3 linked regions of the Alligator mississippiensis genome follow. The protein of the gene in region 3 purifies or fractionates together with the protein of the main gene of each other region. This does not show direct contact. Links are inferred from orthologs where the notes say so. Each region holds a gene or a part of one and is shown on either strand. Other genes may lie near its edges.

Region 1 (7,333 bases), on a different chromosome or scaffold from region 3:
GCAATGAGTTTTATGTGCCTCCAGAATGTAGTGTATCTGCAGCTAAAAGGTTCTCAACCTCTTCAGGATTAAAATGCCCCACCACCACTTTTTTGAATGTGGTGGCACTCCTGGCTGAGAACCACTAGTGGTGCTGCCTCAGCTTACCTCAGTGCTTCCCAGCCAGGTCCTGCTGCTGGGAAGGGCTCTGAAATGGAAGGGCTCCACACTGCAAAGCCAGCCCATGAAGGGCTGTGCTACGTGTGTGGTTCTCTCACACTAGTGCTCTGATCAGTCTAAAGCAGACAGGAGCTGCCTCATGCTGTGCAGTTCTTTATGGTCCAGCACCCCCAATGCTGCTCCTGAAAGCAGAAGCAGACAGAACTGTTACAGCCAGGACTGGTTCTCCTGCCTGTTTTAGGCTGATTAAGGAGCCCTAGTGCAGGGGTAGTGAGGCAGTTTTACCTGGCCACTGTTAGTGCAGCACTTCTGAGGGGCCTTGCAACACCCTGGTTGAGAACCACTGCTTTAGAAAAATGATATAAATATAAGATTTAAAAAAATCTGAGAAGTGGGAAATAGTCAGGATGCATATCCTAGAGAGAGAGAGAGAGTTAGCTATGCTGGTCTGAAGTTAGGCAGAAGGGCAGGACAGGGTGGTATCTTAGGGTGCTGTTACAGGTTACCTTTAAAACATTTTAAATCTGTTGAAGGTTGCTGTCATAAATTACAACAGTTTCAGAGCAGTCACAGGTTAAGGCTTAATGCTGTCTCAGACCTGCACAACTGGGAGGCCTAGGAGGCACCCTCAGCAAGTTTGTAGATGATGCCAAGTTGGGGGGTGTAGTAGATGCACTGGAGGATTGGGCTAGGATTCAGAGTGACCTAGACAGATTGAAGGATTGGGTCAAAAGAAATCTTAGGAGGTTCAACAAGGACAAATGCAAAGTCCTGCACTTAGGATGGAACGATCCCATGTACCGCTACAGCCTGGGGACTGACTGACTAAGTAGCAGCTCTGCAGAGAAGGACATGGGAGTTACAGTGGACAATAAGATGGATGTGAGTCAGCAGTGTGCCTTTGTTGCCAAGAAGGCTAACTGCATAGTGGGCTGCATTAGTAGGAGTGTTGCCAGCAGATCAAGGGAAGTAATTATTCTGCACTGGAAGGCCACATCTGGAGTACAGTGTCCAGTTTTGGGCCCCTCACTATAGAAAGAATATGGTCAAGTTGGAGAGAGCTCAGTGGAGAGCAGTGAAAATGGTTTGGGTGCTGGGGCACATGATTTATGAGGAGAGGCTGAGGGAACTGCGTTTATTTAGTCTGCAGAAGAGAAGACTAAGCTAGGATTTGACAGCAGCCTTTAAGTACCTGTAGGGGGGCTTGAAAGAGGATGGAGCTGGACTGTTCTCTATGGTGACAGATCACAGAACAAGGAACAATGGTCTCAAGTTGCAGCAAGGGAGGTTTAAGTTGGATATTAGGAAAAACTTTCTCACTACGAGGGTGGTGAATCACTGGAACAAGGTCCCCAGAGAGGTGGTGGAATCTCCATCCTTGGAAGTTTTTAAGACCTGGCTGGACAAAGCCTTGGCTGGAATGATCTAGTTGGGGATGGTCCTGCTTTGAGCAGGGAGTTGGACTAGATGACCCCCTGAGGTCCCTTCCAACCGTAATTTTCTGTGATTTTATTAAACTGCCATTAGAGGGCCTGGTGAGCAGGCATGTGGACAAGAGCCAGGCCTTTATCCCTTCTTTGGGGTGGGAGAGTAGTGGGGAGGGTGGCATTGCACAATTACTTGAAGACCGCTACTTATGCAGAGTAGCTCTCACACACAATAAAAAGCTCCAACCAGCTATGAAGTTAGACCTTAAAAAAGTATGCTAACTTTAGAGCTGGTTGCTATTGAGCTTTAATGTGCACATATAGCAAGGTCTCCCCTGCGACTGGGAACCCAATAGCTGATAGGGTTTCCAGCTGCAGGGGTGCACCATGTTCTGCATAAAACCTCAAAGCTGAAGGGGCGTGGGCAGCCACTATCCCTAAGGGCTTATGGGTGTGGGAAACCCCCAGATCCTGGGGATCATGGTGATCGTTTGACCCTTGGGGTGGGGGAATCTCCACTGTAATTATCCTACAGCCCCAGGGGTGCCCCTGTGGCTGGGAGCCCTTCAGCTGGAGTATGTGGGGCTTCTAGCTGCTGGAGTTTGCCAGTTCAGGGGCAGCTCAGGATTGAGCACGCCCTGCACCAGCAATAAGGTGCAACAGTATCTAATGCATGATCCCACTATTGCCCCTCCTGCCACGCGTATGTGGCATCGCAGGAGGTGCGATTGTATGAATTGCATGTTAGATCCCATCACACCTTTAGCTTTGTGTAGAGGGGGCCTCAGAGGCAGAGAAACCACCATGTAGTTTCCCTTACTCTGTAGCCAGCAGGAGCCAGTTAGAACCACAGGTGGGAGGGGAGTCTTTTAAAAAAAAACCAACTGTTTGAAGTGATTTGGTACAGGGGAGAAGTAAAGAGAAAGAAATGGAAAAAAGAATATAAAAAAGGACCAGAACCTTGTATGTGTTTCACTGAATTGGTATTGGCTTTGAAGGAATTGGGTTAGTTATTATATCAGGACACACCTGAGACCCATCAGGCTTGTTGCATGCCACACTGGGGTAGGAGCTGGGCTTAGTATGCACTCACAACAGGGCAGAGCCCAGGCCAGAGACTCAATGGGCTTGCTACATGTGCCTCACCAGGGCGAAATCGTGACCCAGCAAGCTTGCTGCATGCAGGCTGCACTAAGGCAATGCGCTCATAGACCACCTGGTGCTGCTTGTTGCCCTTTGAGCCCTTGGCAGTGGTGGTGAGTATTTTCAACTTGCCCTAGATGATGATGAGGTCCAGCACCTCAGCACGGGTCCAGTTTGCAGCTTGCTGGGTGGTTTCCATTCTTTGGCTCATTCTTTTCACAGAGGTAGGCAGTAGGATTCCTGTTGCTGTTTGCATGGGAGTCCTAGAGCTAGTAGCAAACTAGGGAGCTGCATTGGGTGCTCACAGTAGTCAGGGTGTGCTGGAGTCGCACCTCCTGGAGGGGAAAGGGATGTTGACTTGTGGCCAGCACCACCCCGTTAACAGATTTTTAATAGGGGTGGGGAGGTGAAAAATTGAAATAGACTCTTGTGTCATTCCAACCAATGTGAGAAGCTTATTGATTAATTGACAAAGCAAGATTAGCTGAAAAAAAGCATAATCTTACAGGATGGGTCTTGACTGCCGCAAAGTGAAGCTGGCCAGGCTCATGTTCTGCACAGCAGGGGGTCCTCCAGATGAACAGTCCCGCAGATGAACAGTCCAGCAGGTGTCATGTAGAAGTTCCCAAGTTTCTTCCCAGCCTATGCTTACTATTTATAGATAGCTGGTAAACATTCTAGTATAATAAAGGGCTTCCTCTGCCTGTCTGTTTGTCTGTCTGTCTGTCCGTAACACTGTTGGTCAGCTGTGCATGCGCTGCCGTCGATTGGTTGCATGGACCCAGGTGGGGAGGAGGCAGAGGGCAGATGCGGGGACACATGCATCTGACAGCTGGCAGGGAGAGCGGGATGGCGGGGGAAGTGTGGCTGCTCGGTGGAAGAAGCAGAGGCAGGCTCACATGCACCCAACAGCTGGCAGGGAGAGGGAGGTGGTAGGTTCAGAGGGGAGTAGGGAGGGGAGGGGAGGCCGGGGGAAGCCCTTCTGCTCAGGGGAGGAGGTGGAGGTGGGTGGGGAGGGAGCCTCCACACTAGTGGCTAGAGGAGGAGGTGACAGCGGTGCAGGGAGTGTTTATATGGCTGGCCCCGAAGGGTGAGCAGGGAGGCGGGGGGTGGCCTCCCTGCCATTATTTTAAATCTGTCATTCATGATGGGTAATTGGCTAGTAATCTTAATATTCTAACTAATGATCCCTGATTGGGTTTGTTGAAATTACTGAAACTTTCAGAGCTGAATTAACCCAGATCTCTTGTGGACTTCTATGCTAGTCTGTTACCTCTGTACTTCAGTTTGAGAAAGCAGGCTCTGCCCAAGAATAGTGGCAAGCCTGATCTTTTTCCCCCCCGGAGCCGCCTGCCTGAGCTGCGGGAGGCCTGGTGCTTACCTCTGCGGCTGTGGTGACTGACCCCTAGGGCCACCCGAGCCAGGTGCGTGCCTGCGGGCAGGTGCTTCCTGGGGGAGCTACAGCTGCTGCAGAGGGAAGCACCCTGGCTGGGGCCTGGGGCCAGGGAGGGCGGGTTAAACAACCCTTACCCCACTCAAACTTACTGTTGGCTGCAACTGTGGACTATAAATTACAGAGGCACCTGGAAGCAGGAAGAGGACGTGATGAGCAACCCTGCAGAGTCCTGCTGTTGTAATTCTGGGCTGCAAATCCCAGAGACCTTGGCGGCAGCAGGAAGAGGAAGTGAACACACAGCTAGAGAGCTGTGCTCTAGTGCCCCCTGTCTTCTGCCTGAGACACTGTAGGCATGTGGTTGCATTTTCTGAATCAAAGGAAAATAGGATCGATAGGCTTGCAAGGTGAGTGGATGAAAACCTGATGGCATTCAATATAGAGAAATGCAAGGTGCTTCACCTCGGTGGGGGGGGGGGGGGACCTGCATCATACTTATAGGCTCAGCAATGCTATCCTCACTAGCACCACAGCCAAAAGACACTTGGGGGTCATGATTGACCGCAAGATGAACATGAGCCACCAATGCGATACCACAGCTGGCAAAGCAAACAAAACTCTGGCTTGCATCTACCGATGCTTCTCAAGCAAGACCCAGGATGTCATCCTCCTGCTGTACTTGGCCTTGGTGAGGCCGCAGCTGGAGTACTGCATCCAATTCTGGGCTCCACAATTCAGGAAGGATGTGGAGAAGCATATTTATAGATGTAGGGTCGGAGGGGACCTGAGCAGATCATCTAGTCCGACCCCCTTCCCTGGGCAGGAATGAATTACTGGGCTCATATGACCCCTACTAAGTTTAAGCTCAAATGACCCCAGCTAGGTAGTTATCAAGCCTCCTTTTAAAGACCCCTAAGGTAGGAGCCAGCACCACTTCCCTTGGAAGCTGATTCTAGATCCTGGCTGCCCTGGCTATGAAGTATTGCCTCCTGATTTGTATCCTGAACCTATTCTTAATCAACTTGTGGCCATTATTCTTTGTTACTCCGGGAGGTGCTCGGGAGAACAGGGTCTCGCCCATTCCCCTCTGGTCCCAGACCCCGGTAAGTTTATAGGCGGCCACTAGATCCCCTCTCAGCCTTGTCTTGTGAAGAATGAACAGGTTCAGGTCCCTTAACCTCTCCTTGTAAGGCCTGCCCTGCTGCCCCCTGATCATGCTGGCCCTCCTTTGGGCCCTCTCAATGCTGGCCTCATCCCTCCTGAAGTGCGGCACCCAGAACTGGACACACTACTCCAACTGTGGCCTGACCAGTGTCGCATAGAGGGGGAGGATCCTGGACCTGCTCATGATGCATCTGTGGATACATGACAAGGTGCGATTAGCCTTGCTGACCGCGTCCTCACATTGGCGGCCCACGTTCATTTTGGAATTGGTAATGACTCCAAATCTCTTTCAGCCACTGTGCTTTCAAGAAGGGAGTTCCCCAGCCTATAGGTATGCTGCTGGTTCTTCCTGCCCAAGTGCAATACCCTGCACTTGTCAGTATTGAATCCCATCCTATTCTCATTTGCCCACCCCTGTAACCTTGCCTGAGAGGCTTGAAAGAGTCCAGAGGAGAGCCACGCGCATGATCAGAGGGCAAGAGAACAGGCCTTACGAGGAGAGGCTGTGAGCTATGGGACTCTTCAGCCTGGAGAAGCACAGGCTCAGGAGTGACTTGGTGGCAGTCTATAAGTACATAAGGGATGTGCATCAGGATCTGGGGAACACCTTTTTACCAGAGCATCCCAGGGTATGACAAGGTCCAATAGTCACAAACTCCTGCAAGACCGTTTTAGGCTGGACATAAGAAAAAACTTCTTTACTGTCCAAGCCCCCAAGGCCTGGAACAGACTCCCCACAGAGGTGCTGCAAGCACCTACTCTGGGCACTTTTAAGAAACATTTGGACGCTTATCTTGTTGGGATCTTTTGACCCTAGCTGACTTCCTGCCCCATGGGCAGGAGGCTGGACCCAGTGATCTTACGAGGTCCCTTCCAGCCCTAATGTCTATGAAATCTGTGAAAATGTCTGCTTACTTCTGTTTCTGTTTAATCTGTGCAGTTTAGGCTAACCTGCAAAGACTGAATTGATTCGGCTTTGGGTTTTCTGACTGTATCTAGCCATAATGTGCTTTGTCATTGTTCTGGTTGAGAGGCTGAATCAAATGATTTTTAGGTCTCTGAAGCATTGGTTGACTTTGAACTTGTAGGGCTGGACTTGATGTCCTGAGAGGCTATTTTTAGCCCTGTTTTCCTGTGTACAAATCAGTTCAAAGTTGCCAGATGGAAACAGTGTTTGAGCGTCTTCCTAAAAACTTCCTCTGGATTGTCCCCTGGTTTTACCCCAGAGTCAACTCTGTAGTTTAGGGTTATGCATGTTAACAGGCTGATGAAGATTCCCATAGCAATAACAGAGCATTTCACTCCTTTCCTCTCATAACATACAAAATTGTAATGTTGTTTGCTTACAGACCTAGATACTTATACATAGAATTACATTTAAAAAAGTCTTAGAATTGATGCCTAGTTTAATTATTACTTTGTATCTGAATCTCGAGCTGAAAGGTGCTTCTTGGGCCATCAGATCTGGTTCCCTGCCTTTGCTAGCAGCATTTGTAAATTTAAGGGATCCACAAAAAATACCCATTCCACAAGCTCTCTTGAACACCACAGCCATGAGGGAAAAAAAAAAAAAAAAAAGAAAAGAATATAAGAACATAACTCTAACTTGGCAAAGATAAAGAGCAGATAGAGAATAATGTTACTGATATGTGCTGTCTGTCTTCATGATGCCAGGACATTTGAACATGTTATATGTTCTGTATATACAACCTAGGGAATTATGCTATTATGCGCCCATGCACTTTGCGCATAAAAGGTATTACCGTGCATAACTGCATAATTTAACTACAGTGGGCTCTGTGCCTTTACCTCCATGATATGGAGGTACAGAGCCATGTGGCTGGACATCTGGGTAACTGGGGAGGGGAGCCTGCAGGGGGTGGGGTGGGTATGGAGTTTGTGGCTGGCTGTGGGTGGGTGTGTGGGGTTTGTGGGTGGGTCAGTGGGCCGAGCCAGCTGGCTCAGTGCCTGCATGTGGGGCTTCCAGCACTCTAGCAGGAAGCCGCATGTAGAGGCACAGAGCCTGCCCAGCTTGATGGTGTGTGAC
Region 2 (7,386 bases), on a different chromosome or scaffold from region 3:
CACGGCTGGGAAAGCACTTCTTGCTGGCAGCATGAAGTGGGAATATTACATTTGTATTATATTTGATATTATGGTATAATACATCAGTATCATTCATTAAATTCATTGACAATATAATTCTGTTTATAACATAACATTCACAATGTGCATGTAAGTGTTTGAAATGGGGTGCTGTTGAACTCTGACGTTAGAGAGGTGCCTTGAGTGCAATGAGGTTGAGAGCCACTGCTTCAGATGCCCCAGCCTAGACAAATTCAGAATGACAGGGTTGGACCTCAAGCTTCATAGTTCAGGAGGGACTAGCACAAATAAGCATGTGACTCCAACTCTTCAGGTCATAACTACTTTGGGTCAGTATGTGGAAAAGGAAGACAGCTTGAAGGCTCGTAATGACATAAAGCAGGGCTGTCCAACTGGTGGCCTGCAGGCTCCTGCCCAGCTGCCACTCCTGGGGCTTGCGTGGCAGGGTGGGCTTGCACTGCCCATGTGGCAACAACCAAGGTAAGGCTGGGAGCTCATCGATGTAGGTGCAGAGAACAGAAGGGGGGGGGAGGCTTGGCTCTACACACACAGCAGGGGTCCAGGAGTCCACAGGACATGGCAACCCCTTTGCCATGCAGCCTACATGGTGTGCAGCCCCAGGCTCAGAACTGATGTGGCATGCAGCTCCAGCCCCCCCCGAAGCTGGGCAGCCCTGATAGCCTTACAGGATGGGGATCTTTTCTTTCCTTCCCAACTGTTTTAGATGGGAAGGGCAACATGGTTTCTTATTGCCCGTGTTTAGGCACAGAGAATGAACGAATTGTTTTGTGCTGCAAGAGAGGCCTTCCATCATCCATCCCTCACCCAGAAATTTAATGAGCACCCTGGATAGTCTCATGCCAGCAACTCATGCTCCAAGAACTTAGGGATGTTGGTCACTGGGCTCCTACCAGACCATGATTTAAACACCTTGACTCCCCCACCACGCACCCTTCCCAAAACTCCAGACAAAAAGGCAACAAGCCAACCAAGAGGGAGCAGAAGATGAACTCTGCTAGCCCTACCCAGAGTCCTCCCACATCTGTCCCAAACCTACTATAGGCTGAAAAGCTGCAGTCAGCATCTTGTAATGCCTCTCTACCCTCCTCCATCACAACAGTTAGCAGAGGCTGAGCTCATTGTCAGCAGTTCTAAGCATAAAACTTCAACTCTTAAAATAGTAACTGTTTTACATCAATATATGGAAAGAGACAGACAGTACAAACATATCAAGACCCTATCAAGTTGCAAAGAACTTTGTTCCAGCTACTCAGTTGGTCTAATAAAAGCTTTCACATCTACCCAAAGAACCTGGCCTGCCTATGTTGTTACAGACCAACACAGCTACAGCCAAAAACCTCTACCAAAATTGATAAAACTCAGCTTTTCTAATTCTGTTCTAGCTCACCAGGTCTGGCTAAAAGTTTGCGATGATTAGGGCTAAACTAAATCTTGTCATCCTCGTTCTGGAAAGGAACATGCAACAAGCCCCACCTTGTACAGGCACATATGAGGCATACCTGGGAGTGTCCAGATAGAGTTTTAAGCCAGTAGGTATAGGGAAATTATAATGAAGTACCTGCTCTAATGCATAAATGTGCAAGTGCAGAGAGAGGGATCAGACACATCTTCGAGACTGCCGAGCTGACACGTTGCCTCGCAGACCCAAAGAGTTGTCTGAACACTGCTCTCTGGGATGCAGCATCCGCTTGGCAAGGGAATTAACTTCCTACTTAGTGCACTGCGTTTCTCTCTTATGAAAAGCACTTTATGGGGGGGGGAAGCCTGGTCTCTCCATGGACGTCTCAAGTCTGACCTCACCCTAGGTACAACTGCCGAGCAACAAGGACAGTTAGTGGTATGGAGGAGCTTCCATATGAGGACACTAAAGAGGCTAGACTTATTTAGAAAAAAAAAAAAGAAATGCTTGAGGGGGGACATACAGGTCTACAAAATCCGACATGGCGCAGAGAAAGTCAACAGGGATATATGATTTCCTCCCTCTCTCAGTACGAGAGCTAAGGGTCACCAAGTGCAACTTGCTACCTACTCGTTTCACGAAATGAAACGAGTCTGTAGCAGGCATTAAGCTGAGCACAGGAAGTTTTTTCACGCAGCGCATGTCATTCAAGCGCGAAGCTCACTGTCACCAGATGCTGTGGGCGTTGACAGTGCAGCTGGGCTCAAACAGGGAGTGGGCAAGTGCTTGCAGGAAAGGGGCATGAGGACCTACCAAGCAGGGGGACGAGGGAGATGGCATCAGAAGATGAACTTCCTAAACCTTAAACGTGGGAGGCCGCAAGAGACAGGCACGCCAGGAAAAGCCCGGAAAAGCCCCGGTCAGAGGGTGCTCGCTCTCCCCGTCAGCGTCTGCTCCTGCCCCTTTTAACATGGGGAGGGATCTCCTGGGCCAGGTCTGCCACGGAAGCTATAAGCCCCCTTTAATACAGGGGCACTAGTTCTGCGCTGCTGAGCGCTCGGGACAAGGACTGCTGAAACGGGGCGCAAAGGCTCAGCACGAGACAGCGGGGGTCGGGGAGCAGAGCAGGGCACAGCGCCCGCCGCCCTACAAGCAGCCCAGCGCCAAGGAGCGGCGCCCCAGCGTCCACCACGCGCCGGACTACAGCCCCCAGCAGGCTCCGCGCGGCGGCGCCGAGCCGCCGAGCGCGCCAAGGCCGCGCGGCATGCCGGGAGATGTAGTGCGGGCCCTACCTGGAAGCGGCCGAGGAAGGCGTCGGGCCAGAGGAAGAGGTACACGGGGCTGATAAGGCCCAGCTTGCCCACGAGCGGCAGCGCGATGGAGCCGGCGAACCAGTAGCGGGTGATGAGCGGGATGCTCCGGAACCAGTCCCCCAGGTCCGACATGGCCGGGCCTAGTCGCTGCTCCGCCGCGGGGGAGGCGCTGGCGCTAGGGGCGGTCTGGCTCCGCCCGACGTGGCTCCTCCGAGTTCGGCCGAGCCGCAGCCGCTTCCAGCTCCGCCCCTCCGCGCTGCGACAAGATACCGGAAGTCCCGCCTCTTAAAGGGGCCGCACCCCCGCTTCACACCTCCACCACCCGCGAGGGCTTCCCGAAAGGGCTGAGATTTCGTGTTCTAGAAATCAGCACACCCGGGAAGACACGGAGAGGAAAGATATAGACATCATATATCGATATAGTTAGCTACAGATACAGAGAGACACATATATAGAGAGATAGGTAGATACAGACATGTAGAGGTAGAGATAGGTAGATAGAGACATGTATAGAGATAGCAAGAGAGAGAGATACAGACATAATAGATAGATAGATAGATAGATAGATAGATAGATAGATAGATAGATAGATAGATAGATAGATAGATAGATAGATAGATAGCGATAGAAATAGATATATATAGAGATATAGATAGATATAGATATCATATATAGCTAGTGATAGATATATAGATACATAGACAAAGAGAGAGAGAGAAATAGGTATAGATATCATATAAAGATAGTTAGCTATAGACATAGATAGGTATATAGAGATAGGTATAGATAAGTATACCCATCAGGCCAAGCCTCTCTGGGTATGCTGTCTGGTACGGTGTAACCCAGTACAGCCTGTTCCTGGGCCAGGTTGTCCATGAGTAAATCGGCGCCCACACGTGTGCTAGGCTGGGTGAGGAGGGTGTGTGGACACCCAGCAGGACTGAAAACAAGACCTGTCAAAGGGCAGATGAGCTCCCTGCGAGCCAGCAGACACCCAGACCTGGAGAGATGGGCGCTGCCAGATCACTGCCTAAAGACTCGCCGATGGTGCACAGCAGCGCAAGGACCCTAGGAGGTTGTTACAGCTTCTAAGGCGCCTCAACGGTCGCAGCGGCCTGACTGAAAATCTGGATGTTGAGGACTCCTGGCAGACCGTGGGCCGTGTCACCTGGGAGGAACCTGGTCCTAGTCAGGAGACTGTGGCGGCTCTCCTCGACCTTTTGGAATTACAAGTTCCCCAGATGCAGGTGCAGCCCTGGTATCCCAGCCCGTGGGAGCTCACCCGGCAGGATGGGTAATCATCACCCTGAAGACAGCGAAAGCAGAAGCAGAAAGAAACCCGCGCACCAAGCAGCTCAGAAGTGACGAGCAGAGCAAGGACAGGTGTGTTGAGGAGGCCAGCACGGAGAGGGGAGTCGGAGAGTGATGTAAGCAGAAAGGGTTAGAGAGGCGAGGGATATGTTAGGGCGAAGTCTCGTGTGGGTCCAGCCACGTGGCTGGGATGGAGCTGGGCTCTAACCGATACGGCCCCACTACAGGTTGCTCCAACGAAACATCTGGCGCCCCTGTTGACCCAGACACACTCAAGAGGAGTGAAGAGGTTTCCCTTTCTTTATACAACACAACATCAGCCCGTGGCCCTGTAAGCAGCCCGCAGGACACGCACCACGGTCCTCCCCCACCTCTGCAGCCGGACCCGGGCGAGCGGGGGGAGGGGTGGAACGCGCGCGCCCAGGCACAAGGTTACTGGAGCGCATGCAACACCGCGAAAAGCGGCTCCTCCATCTGCTCCTCCCACTCCGGGAGGCGCGGTGCCTATCGGGAGTTATAGTTTCCGATGCGCTGCAAACTACAACTCCCGACAGGCGCCGCGGCTTCCGGGCGGGTGGCCCATTCCATTACCGCTCCGAGGAGAGGGGGGAACACGCTACCCTGCCCGTGGGCGCCTGACGTGTGCCAACTGCAAGCGGGCGAGCCCATGAGGCGGACTCCCCCCTCCCCAGTCTTCTGTCCCCGCCCCGGCGGCCGGCGGGAGAAGCGGCGGTTGGCGCGGGCGGAGCCGGGTGGAGCGTGCGTCGGGATGGAGAGCGCCGACCTGGGCAGCCGGCAGCGCGGCAAGATCTGGCACCGCAAGCCGTGCCCCGCCGCGCGGAAAGGGTAACTGCCGGGGGAGAGAAGGGTGGGGGTGGGGCCTGGGGACCGATGGGGCGGGGGGGCCTGGGGACAGGTCGGGGGAGCGAGGGGCCAGAGGACAAGTTGGGGAGGGCGGGGGCGGGGCCTGGGGACAGGTCGGGAGGGGCGGGGTCTGGAGACAGGTGGGGGCGGGGTATTGCCAGAGGAGGAGCTGCCAGCAATGCGCACCCAGGGTCCTGGCCTTCGTGCTGCCCTGGAGCGGCAGGGCCTGGTGGGTTTGGAGCCTCAGTGCCTCAGGTGGGGGCTGTTGCTGCTCATTAGTATGGGCCGTGGTGCAGGGCCCTTGTCTGGTTTTGCCCCCTAGCGGGTCCCCTCATGCAGGTCTAGCCCTGTCTCTGTGCCGGTCTGCACCTGCCGCAGGTGTCTCTGCGCACGCTTTGGAGGCAGGATGGAGGCACTTGGACACGGCCTGCCCAGAAGTGCCTGGAGCTGCAGGGAAGCCAGTTTGGCTGAGGCAATGAGACTGAGACCCTGCCTTAGCTAGGGGCTGACTGAGCCATGTGGCCACTCAAATAGGGCAGCACAATTGCAAGCAATTGTGTGCAAGGGACCGTCATTGCACTCAGGGCTGAGGTACTTTGTGTGGTGGTTGTTGGGGGACGGGTGATTCCTGCCTGGGGTGTTTTATGGTGGACTCCTAGCAGGGCCACAGCCAGGCAGGAGCAGCCCTGTCAAGCTTGTTGCATGTCCTTTCACAGCATCTGATGAAGTGATTTTCAGCTTCCGAAAGCTTATGCTACATATATGTGCGCGCGCGCGTGTGTGTATAAATGGTATAAAGAAAGCTGGGAGCAGGGAGTGTGTGTATGTATAACTGGTATCCAGGTTGTAGCTGTATTAGTCTAGAGGAAAAAACAATCAGGGCTCATGGTAGAGGTGATATCTGTTTTTAGAGCAACAATAATTGGTCTAATAATAAAAGATATCACCTCTACCATAAGCCCTGATTGCTTTTGCATATGTAACTAGAAAGCGTTGCTAATATACTAGGGGCCTAGGGCTGTGTTATGCAGCTGAAGACTGAAGCAAAAGCAAATATCCTGTTTTGGAATGAGTTAAAAACAATTTGCAGGGCTGTGAAATAGGAGCTTCCTTCCCAGGAGCAGCAAACAGAAAGCAGCATGGCAGAACAAAGGCTGACTTGATTGGTGCAACATCAAGACCTTTAAAAAGAAGCGAGGGTCGTTAACACCTGTTGAATGAAGAGTTTGGAAGGAATCGGGTAGATGACAATGAGCCATGAAGTCAGTTGACCCCCTCAACGCTGTCTGACTAGAAATGCTGCTGCCACTGCCAAGCAGTTGCTTTTAAATTTGGGGTGGAGCAAGAATCAAAGTGGGGTGTAACTGCATCCCCATCCCCCCACCCCTTGGATCTGCCCCTGATAGCTACGTTGGTTAGTCTATAAGGTGTACATCTACTCTGCCTTCTGCCAGACTCCCCCAGCCAAGCATTGTTGTATCTGCTCTTCAAAAACACTGACAGTGGAGATTCCACCACGTCTCCCGGGGGGGGGTCATCTTTAGTAAGTTACCTCCTTTGTCATTCATTCCATTTCTGATGCACTGGGAAGGAGATAGTTAGCCATGTTAGGCTCAAGTCAGGTGGAAGGCAGGGCAGGTGGCACTTTGGAGACTAACTGGTTCAGAAAGAGAGGTGCTTCTGTAGGTGACAGCCTGCTTTGTCAGATGCTGTGATGTGTGAGGAAAAGAAGACAGTCCCAGACCTGAGGGACTGGGATACTTTACTTCCAGCGAGAAGATTGAAGGGAGCAATAGTTATAGCAGGGTTGTCAAACTCACCTAGGCTGCATCTGGACCATGGGGCTCCTCAGTGGGCTGGATCTGGGGGCTGCGGGCCAGCAGTGGTGGAGGCTGTGCAAGCAGCATTGGGCCGAATAACTGCAGAACAAACAGGGCAGTGGAGGCCATGGCCCTCCCTCACTCCCCTGCTGCCAAGGGCCCTGAATTCAGCAGTAGGCTCTGCCCCTCACTAGCCACATCTCCCAAATACCCTGGACCACCCATAGCACAGGGAGCCAGATGGAGTGTCCCTGGGGGCCAGATCCATCTTGTGGGCATGTGTTTAACACCCCAGAGCATTAATCACCTGGAATAACCCATAGATACCTGGACGCATTAATATTAGAAGCATTTTACTCATATATGGAAAAGCTTGATAAAGACACTGTCCCAAACAGGGTGATTTGTTTGCTTTCCCCACAGAGTCCTAGCTAACATTATTCATAGTGCCACAGGATACCACTCCAAGACCATACGTTTTCTCAGTGTGGCCTTTGACAATTCTGGTGACTCATTACTTGCTGGAGACCATCAAGGGAATATCTATGTTTTTGACTTGAGTGGAAACAGGTAAGCATTATTTTTTCTTATTAATATATGGCTATTATGTGTTATTCTTTGATTATTCTACCTTTAC
Region 3 (7,887 bases):
GGCCTTCTCATTAATAAACTAGGTGACTGTGGCGTTGATGCCTACAGTCAGATGGGTCGCTAACTGGCTGGAGGGCCGCACCCAGAGAGCGGTCGTGGACGGGTCATTTTCAACCTGGAGGGCTGTGGGCAGTGGGGTCCCCCAGGGCTCGGTCCTCGGACCCGCACTGTTCAACATCTTCATCAGCGACTTGGACAAGGGGCTGAAAAGCACCTTGTTCAAATTCGCAGATGACACTAAGATGTGGGGGGAGGTGGGCACGCTAGAAGGGAGGGACAGGCTGCAATCAGACCGGGACAGGTTACAGGGGTGGGCGGATGAGAACAGGATGGGTTCAACACTGACAAGTGCAGGGTGCTGCACCTGGGGAGGAAGAATCAGCAGCAGACCTACAGGCTGGGGAACTCCCTTCTCGTCAGTGCAGAGACAGAAAGGGATCTTGGAATCATTATTGACTCCAAGATGAACATGGGCCGACGGCATGGGGACATGGTCAGGAAGGCCTTGTTGGCATCCACAGATGCGTCACGAGCAAGTCCAATGTGATCCTCCCCCTCTGTGCGGTACTGGTCAGGCCGCAGTTGGAGTACTGCGTCCAGTTCTGGGCACCGCACTTCAGGAGGGATGTGGACAGAATGGAGAGGGTCTAGAGTGCCACCCGCATGACAAGGGGGCAGGCCCCAGGAGGAGAGGCAACAGGACCTGAACCTGTTCAGCCTCCACAAGAGAAGGCTGAGAGGGGATCTAGTGGCCATCTATAAATAGACAAAGGCAGACCAGCAGGCAATGGGGGAGTCCCTGCTCCCCTGAGCACTACCTGGAGTAACAAGGAATAACAGCCATAAGTTGATGGAGGGTAGACTCAGACTAGACATCAGGAGGCGCTACTTCACAGTCAGGGCAGCTAGGATCTGGAACCAACTTCCAAGGGAAGTGGTGCTGGCTCCTACCCTGGGGGTCTTTAAAAGGAGGCTAGATAGTCACCTTGCCGGGGTCATTTGACCCCAGCATCCTTTTTTGCCCGTGGCAGGGGGTCGGACTTGATGATCTGCTCAGGTCCCTTCCGACCCGACCAACTATGAAACCAGCTCCCCCGCCCCACTCCCACCCTTTCCTTTACCCGGCTCCCGGCCTCCACTTGCCAGCAAGCCTGTGGGCTCCCAGCACAGCAGCTGCTTCCGAGTTGCCCCTCCAGCCTGAACGAGGAATGAGTGAGGAAGGAAAGGGCAGCACCTCCTGGGTTTGGAGCTGTCAGTTTATTTGTAACAAGTGGCTTGGACAAGGTCACAGATACCAAAGCTGGGGACACACAGAACAGCCACAGGCACAGCCCTCCCCAGAGCCAGGTGTCCCTTCTCTCCCAGGTGACAGCAGCAGTCAGGGCCGGCTGGGGAAGCCTGGGGGCTCCTTCTCTCTGCGGGGCGCAAGCAACAGCCTCCCTGGGGCTTCCCAGAACAGAGTGAAGGGGGCTCTGCCAGCAGCTGCAAGAGTGAGGTAGGCCCCACTCTCTGGCCCCTGGAGCAGCAAAGGGGCAGGCAGAGCTGCCTAGGCAGAGCTGTGGGCTGCCATCCCCTCCTCCCCGCACCAGCTCAGCCCCAGCTGTGCAAAGTAGCACACTCCTGTCCTGCCCTGCTGGGCAGCTCCACACCCAGCCAGCAGCCTCCTGCACCCCAGAGCCAATGCCCTGCAGAGCTGGCCTGGGTGGGGCTGGAGAGGGTCTCCTAAGGCAAGGCTCAGCCCATGTGCTGTGGACTTTGCCCCGAGTTCCCTGCCAGCTGTACCCAGCCCTCCCCACCCACCAGGTCCTTGCAGACAGGTGGCTGAGCACATGCCCAAGAGGTGATATGGTGTCTACGCAGCCCAGCAGGGAGCAGATCTCAGGCTCCTGGACCAGGCCTCAGCACAGGCTGGGATCCCAGGGCTGGGGGCTGAGCCACAAGGGGTTGGGTCAGACCTACCCAGCACAGAGCCAGCACCTGCCTCTGCTACCAGCAAGGAGCTTGGGCAGGGGGCCAAAGCCTTGCTGGGAAGAGTCAGCCACCCAAGCTCAGCATCCCCTCACAGCAGCAGTCATCAAGGCAGCTCCATTCAGCCTGGAGCCAGGGGGCGGGAAGCTCTTAGTGAGACCCAGAGGACAGGCTCCCTGGGGGAGGCTCCTCCCTTGCCCTGCTCAGCATCTCCAGCCCCCACACACCACCCCAGGCCAGGCCAGGCCAGGACCTCCTGCCCACCCAAGCCCCTGCCCCAGCCCTGCACATCCCAATTCCTCACGCGCTGAGCCGCAAGCAGACGGTGATGTCACACTCCTACCTCCAACATCACAGCCAGCCTGGGCCCAGGCACCAGCTGGGGAGGGGGTACCTGCAACAGGGGCCTGGCAGGGAGGAGCCCCAGCCCAGCCACCCCACCCACCACCGAGGGAACCACCACGGTAATAAATAAGTGTAAAAAGACCAACGCACCCTTTAAGCAAAGGAAAACCAGGGGGACAGCGACAGCCACCCGCCCGCAGGAGGTGCTCGCGGCGGGGGCAGCACCCCTGCTGGCCACCACGGGCCCCACATGCTGCGCGCATCCAGGCAAGCTGGTGGGGGGCCGTGCCCCTGCGGCGCTCCGGCTGGGCTAGCGCGCCAGGGGCGTCTGTTTGAGGGAGATGAGCACCGAGCGCATGCGGGAGACGTCCTTGTTCTGCTTGCTGCTCTTGGGGTTGAAGTCGCAGAGCTGCGCCACCTTCTCCCACTCCGTGCCCGGGTCCTCCTCCCTCGACTCCTTCAGGAAGGCTTCCTCCGAGGCCCTGTGGGGAAAGGGGGTCAGCCACTGTCTGCCCACTGCCCGCAATGCCCCCGTTTCCCCATGCCCCCCATCCCTCGGGCACAGGGGCTCTGCAGTCTGGTTAAGAACAGGCTCCTGGCAGGTGCACAAGCCCAGGGCTCCTCTGCCACCCCAGAGACCCCCCCCAGGGGGGTGGGCTCATAATGCAACCCCCATGCAGCCGCCACTTCACCCCCTTCCTCCACACCTTGCAGCTCCACTCGCTTCTGGGGACTTCACTGTGGGAGGTGCTGGATGGACACCCCCACCAGACCCCAACAGCCCTGCAGACCCCCACACCAGGCAGAGGGAAATCCCCAACCGGAAGGACAGAGAAACAGAAAGAGAGAGGGAGAGAGCGAGAGAGAGGGGCACGTACACATAGCCAATCACATCGGCGTCCGGCTGCTGGTAAAAGGCTTTGTCAGCAATCCTAGCCCAGGAGCAGCAGACAGAGAAGTAGCAGAGTGACAGGCAGGCAGGTTAGACAGACAGAGAGGGCAGGTGTTAGTGCCCGCGCACCGCCGGCAGGAGCACGCCCCGCTCCACCAAGCAGAGACCCCGGCTACGCCCGGCCCCTGCGTGGCAGGCAGTGGGGTCGGGCTGACGCAGGACCCGGGCCCCCAGGACGAGGCCTCGCACGGGGAGAGATGCCCCTATTTCTAAGCACGGCTCCTCCCTGCTCCAGGAAGGTCCCCACCTCCCCCCCGGCCACACCTGTTGTTAACCCGGTTCTTCTCCATCTGCTCAACCTGCCGCAGGTTCCACTCCTCCAGGTCCTTCTTGGCCCTCTCGCGCCACTCCTGCTCCAGCACCTTGGAGGCAGCGTCTGTGGCCGGGGCAGAAGTCGGTCACGGCGGCGCGGGCGGCTCCGCCCCAGGGGGAGGTGGGGGCGCAGGCTGGCTCCCGCACCCTGCGCGCGCCCCTTCCCCGTGCTCACCCAGCTCCTGCAGCCGCTGCTTTTGCTCCTCCCTCCACTTGCGGAGGCTCTCGGGCTCCTGGGTCAGCCGGTCCGCCTTGGCGATGGCGGCGTAGGCGTCCGTGGGGCCGTTGGACTCCTGCGGGACACAGCCCCCCTGCCCCGCTGAGTGAGCACAGCCCCCCGGGGCAGCGGGCTCTGCTCGCTCTCCCTCCCCCAGCACCACAAGCAGGGGGCTGCTCGCCTGTGCCCCCCCCGCGGCAGCCCACACAACCCAGGTGCCCACGAGGGGCTTGGTGACATCACACCCCTGTGATGTCACAGCCGCCCCCCGCCCGTGGGGGTGCCGGCACCCCGAGGATGACACGGCGGGCGCGGGGCGGGGGCGGGGGCGGGCGCGTGAGTCAGGGCAGGGCGAGGCGAGGCTGGAGCCGCTCCCGCCCGGCTCAGCCCGGCTCGTACCTGGAAGAGGTCTCCGTTGAGCGCGGTCGCCCCGTCCGGCGCCCCGGCTGCACGCGAGGGAGGGAAGAGGCGGCGGGTCACGGCGGGCAGGGCGCCCCCCCCGGCCCCGGCCCCGGGCCCGGCCCCCTCCCGCGGGCAGCCCCCGCCGTGCCCCGGCCCCAAGCGCGCCGCCCACCGTCCTCGTGCAGCGGCTCCGGGCTGCTCCCGGGCCCGGGGTCGCCCTCGATGCCCGCGATCTCGCTCTCCTGCTGCGCCAGGAAGGCGGCGGCGGGGTCCTCCTCGGCCGCGCCCGCGAACAGCCCGAACTCCTCGGCCATGTCTGCGCCGGGCGGGGCGGGGCCGGGACGCGCGCTGGCGTCACCGGCGTGACGTCATGGGCGGGGCCGGGGGCGACGTCACGGCGCGGGACTGCGGCACGCGCGCACCAGCCCTGCCAACGGCTGCCTGAAGCCTTCGGCCGCTTCCGGAAACCTCCCAGCGGCTTCGGGTGTACTGTCACGTGACCGTGGATAGCTCGGGTGTTTCCGGAAACCTCCCAGAGACTTCGGGCGGGCGGTCACGTGGACCGCTCGGGTGTTTCCGGAACCCTCCCAGCAGCTTCGGGCGGGTGGTCACGTGGAGCGCTTCGGAAAGCCCCGAGCAACGACGCCGAGGGGAGCGGAGGAACGCCCTCCCGCGACCCGTCCGCCGTGGGGGGGGGGGTCAAAGAGGACCGGAAGTGTAGCGTCACTTCCCGAGAGTGACGGAGCGGCGGGTCAAGAGGCGGTAGCAAAATGGCTGCGCCGGCGGAGCGGGAGCTGACGGCGGAGCAGACCGAGAAGCTGCTGCAGTTCCAGGTGCCGCGGCCGCGCCGCTCTCGGGGCCCGGGCGGGGGAGGAGCAGGAAGGCCCCGCCCCCCAGGGTCTGTAGCGCCGGGATTGGCCGCTGGTTACCGGGGCAACGCGGCCCTGGGCTGGGGCCTTCCCCCCATGACTGGGCCGCGCTCCCCGCGCGCACGTGCCCGGCCCGGCCCGGCCCGGCCCACAGCGCCTCCTCTGCCGCCGCCGGCTGCCGCGTGGGGTTGGCCCGCTCGGAGCGCGGCCGGCAGCGACTCCGGCGCGGGCCGAGGCAGCGTCAGGCCGCCCTGCGCAATCCAGTCACGGGCCGGGAGGGGGAGGGGAGCGGAGCTCGGGAGTCGCGTCTAGCGCAGCCCCGCTCCACGCAGGACCGGCCCGGCCCGGCCAGGGCTTTGTCTACCCGCCGTTTCACCACCTCCGAGGGTGGAGACCGCACCACCGCTCTGGGGAGCCTGCTCCAGTGCTTCGCCCTCCTGGAGACTGTGCTGTCCTCATATCCACTCTCAACTTCCCTCGCTGCAGCTGGAGCCCATCGCTCCTTGTCCAGCATCTGCCCCACTGAGACCAGCCCAGCTCCATCCTCTTTGCAGCCCCCCGGCAGGGAGGTGAAGCTGCTATTCAGCCCCCCTCAGTCTTCCCTTCTGCAGACTCAGTCAGCCCATTTCCCTGAACCGCTCCTCACCAGTCCTGTCCCCAGCCCACAACCATTGTCAATGCCCTCCACTGGACTCTCTCCAACGTGTCCACATCCTTTCTGCAGCGGGGGCCCGCAGGTGGACACAGGACTGCAGGTAACCTAACCGGGGCGCAGCATAGGCAGCCCGCCCGAACCTGGTGCAGGTATGGCAGGGGACCCGTAGTAGCCACCGTCCCGTTTCCATGAAACGTTTACGGATTCGCAGAAGGTTAGGGCTGGAAGAGACCTCGTGAGATGACGCAGTCAGTACATGCTCAAGCGATCCCAGGGAAGGGCCCCCCCCGGCTACTGAGGAAGCTAAAACCCCCGTCGTCCGTGCCTGTCTGACCATGGGGTAAAATTTGCAACGTGATGCGTATCAGAAGACCAGAGACATCAAACGGGAACCCAGAGTGTCAAGAATACATGTATTAATATTGGAGCCAATCTTCTGTTGCAAATGAATCAAGAGATCAGAAATATATTTGTGCCCCGTTGTGTATTTTGCGACAGGAGATTGGCTCTGGTGTTTGTCTGTGTTCAGAAGATGAATGAAAAGCAAGAGCTGGCAACTTCCACGCAGGGCCTCAGATCTAAGGATGAGTGCGTCAGAGCGAGCGAGGGGTGAAGGTTGAGAACCACTGATCTAAATTAAGGGCTTTGAGTGGATCAAAAGACCTAACATTTCACCCAGTAACCCAAGCAGATAACTTGTGGTTGGTTGAGCTGTTTGTTAATCTCCGCTGTGCTCAGCGTGACAGCATGTAACTACTATGAATCGTGGTCCTTGGGCCTCCAGTCATGAGTTGAAGATCCCGGGTGATATATCAAGGTGATATTCCAGTTGTGATCAGACTACCGATGTTTTCAGTCTAATCCTCCTGAGTCTCCAGACGGGTTCAGCACATCTGCAGCTGCTGCTTGGCAGCGGGGTGACCGTCGAGGCGGTGCTGGGTTGGAGCCGTTGTTCAGACCCACGTTGCAGCAGTAAAGCTAAAGTGTGGGATGGGGCTTTGACAGACCAGGGTGTATTTCCCACTCTGACAGACCTCAAATGCCATTCAGTATTTATGGCCGTTCTGTATGCATACTGTTTTGCAGAGCCAGGAACATTTAAAGCAATGGAGCTAATGCTTCTAGACCTCAGAGATGGTCCTTCCTTCTACTGCACCCTTTCCTGTTTCTCAGTTACTCTGTCCCAACACATAGTGGTCAGTAGGTGTTTGAAGCTTAACTGCTGCTACTAATTATTTGCTTTTCTGTGTCACTAACTGCTGATGAACTTGATGCTTTACGCATCTTCATTACATTTCAAAATCCCCTTGTAGGCTAAGTAAATACAATTATGTGCATTTTATTTAGGGGAAACCCAGGAAAGGAGAGAGGGACTTACCTAAGGTCATGCAAGAAATGTGATCATTCTGATTGTAAGGTGTGTGTGGCAGAGGGTTTCTTTTACTTCAGATCATCCCATAGCAGCCACAGTGGAGTTCTGGTGCATGCTAGCGATTTCTGACTTTTGCTGCAACACAAAAAGGCAATAGTCATCATAAAACATGCATGTGTCAGGGTGGAGAATAAACCTCAACTGTTGCACACACAGTCCTGGACTTAACCCACAAGAAATCCTCCTCCTCATCCTCACTGTCAGCTTGAGTACAATGGAGGCAGTTTGCCCTGTGATGTGCACTATGGAAATAAGTAGACAGAGATGGTGGTCTCTCCAGAGAGAACACTGAATTTCTCTTGAAAGGTATTGGGCCCAGCTTGTGCAGTTCTCAGAGACCACAGGGATTTCTTCCTCTGAGCAGTTTTTCAGGCAGTTTTTAATTGGAAATTATTAACCTGCCATTAAGGCTGAAAGACTATCATGAGGACTGTGACAGATGGTGAGTAAACTGAACAAGAGGTAATTAAAGTGTTGCTGCTCAGTAATGAGCTGAAATATCTCAACTCTGGTTGTTTTCAGAATTCATAGATTTCATAGACATTAGGGCTGGAAGGGACCTTGGAAGATCATCAAGTCCAGCCCCTGCCCAAAGGGCAGGAAGTCAGCTGGGGTCATAGGATCCCAGCTGATTCCTATAGCTTCGGGTGGTTTGGGTTAACTGCATAGTTGTGTACTGCCCATTGTCTTGGCAGTGCTGTCTTGGAGTTGCCCTGCTCATAAACATTTGAATTCA

The links.
Region 1: the proteins of FAF2 (region 3) and UBAC2 purify together in Homo sapiens (affinity purification with western blotting; 7 studies listed by BioGRID and IntAct, with this or other methods). This does not show direct contact. The link is inferred for Alligator mississippiensis from reciprocal best matches to the Homo sapiens genes FAF2 and UBAC2.
Region 2: the proteins of FAF2 (region 3) and DERL1 purify together in Homo sapiens (affinity purification with western blotting; 4 studies listed by BioGRID and IntAct, with this or other methods). This does not show direct contact. The link is inferred for Alligator mississippiensis from reciprocal best matches to the Homo sapiens genes FAF2 and DERL1.

The regions. Positions count from the first base shown.
Region 1 is NC_081824.1:364,831,559-364,838,891, reverse strand, and holds the start of UBAC2 (ubiquitin-associated domain-containing protein 2), read left to right. Parts: upstream 1-4,332; 5' UTR 4,333-4,477; coding exon 4,478-4,529; intron 4,530-7,333. UniProt on the Homo sapiens protein: Restricts trafficking of FAF2 from the endoplasmic reticulum to lipid droplets.
Region 2 is NC_081826.1:20,780,939-20,788,324, reverse strand, and holds the start of DERL1 (derlin-1), read right to left. Parts: upstream 3,002-7,386; 5' UTR 2,887-3,001; coding exon 2,734-2,886; intron 1-2,733. Other genes in the region: TBC1D31 (TBC1 domain family member 31), read left to right, coding at 4,835-4,911, 7,173-7,319. UniProt on the Homo sapiens protein: Functional component of endoplasmic reticulum-associated degradation (ERAD) for misfolded lumenal proteins. Forms homotetramers which encircle a large channel traversing the endoplasmic reticulum (ER) membrane.
Region 3 is NC_081832.1:79,160,393-79,168,279, forward strand, and holds the start of FAF2 (FAS-associated factor 2), read left to right. Parts: upstream 1-4,871; 5' UTR 4,872-4,965; coding exon 4,966-5,028; intron 5,029-7,887. Other genes in the region: CLTB (clathrin light chain B), read right to left, coding at 2,623-2,794, 3,191-3,244, 3,529-3,640, 3,752-3,887, 4,193-4,239, 4,368-4,509. UniProt on the Homo sapiens protein: Plays an important role in endoplasmic reticulum-associated degradation (ERAD) that mediates ubiquitin-dependent degradation of misfolded endoplasmic reticulum proteins.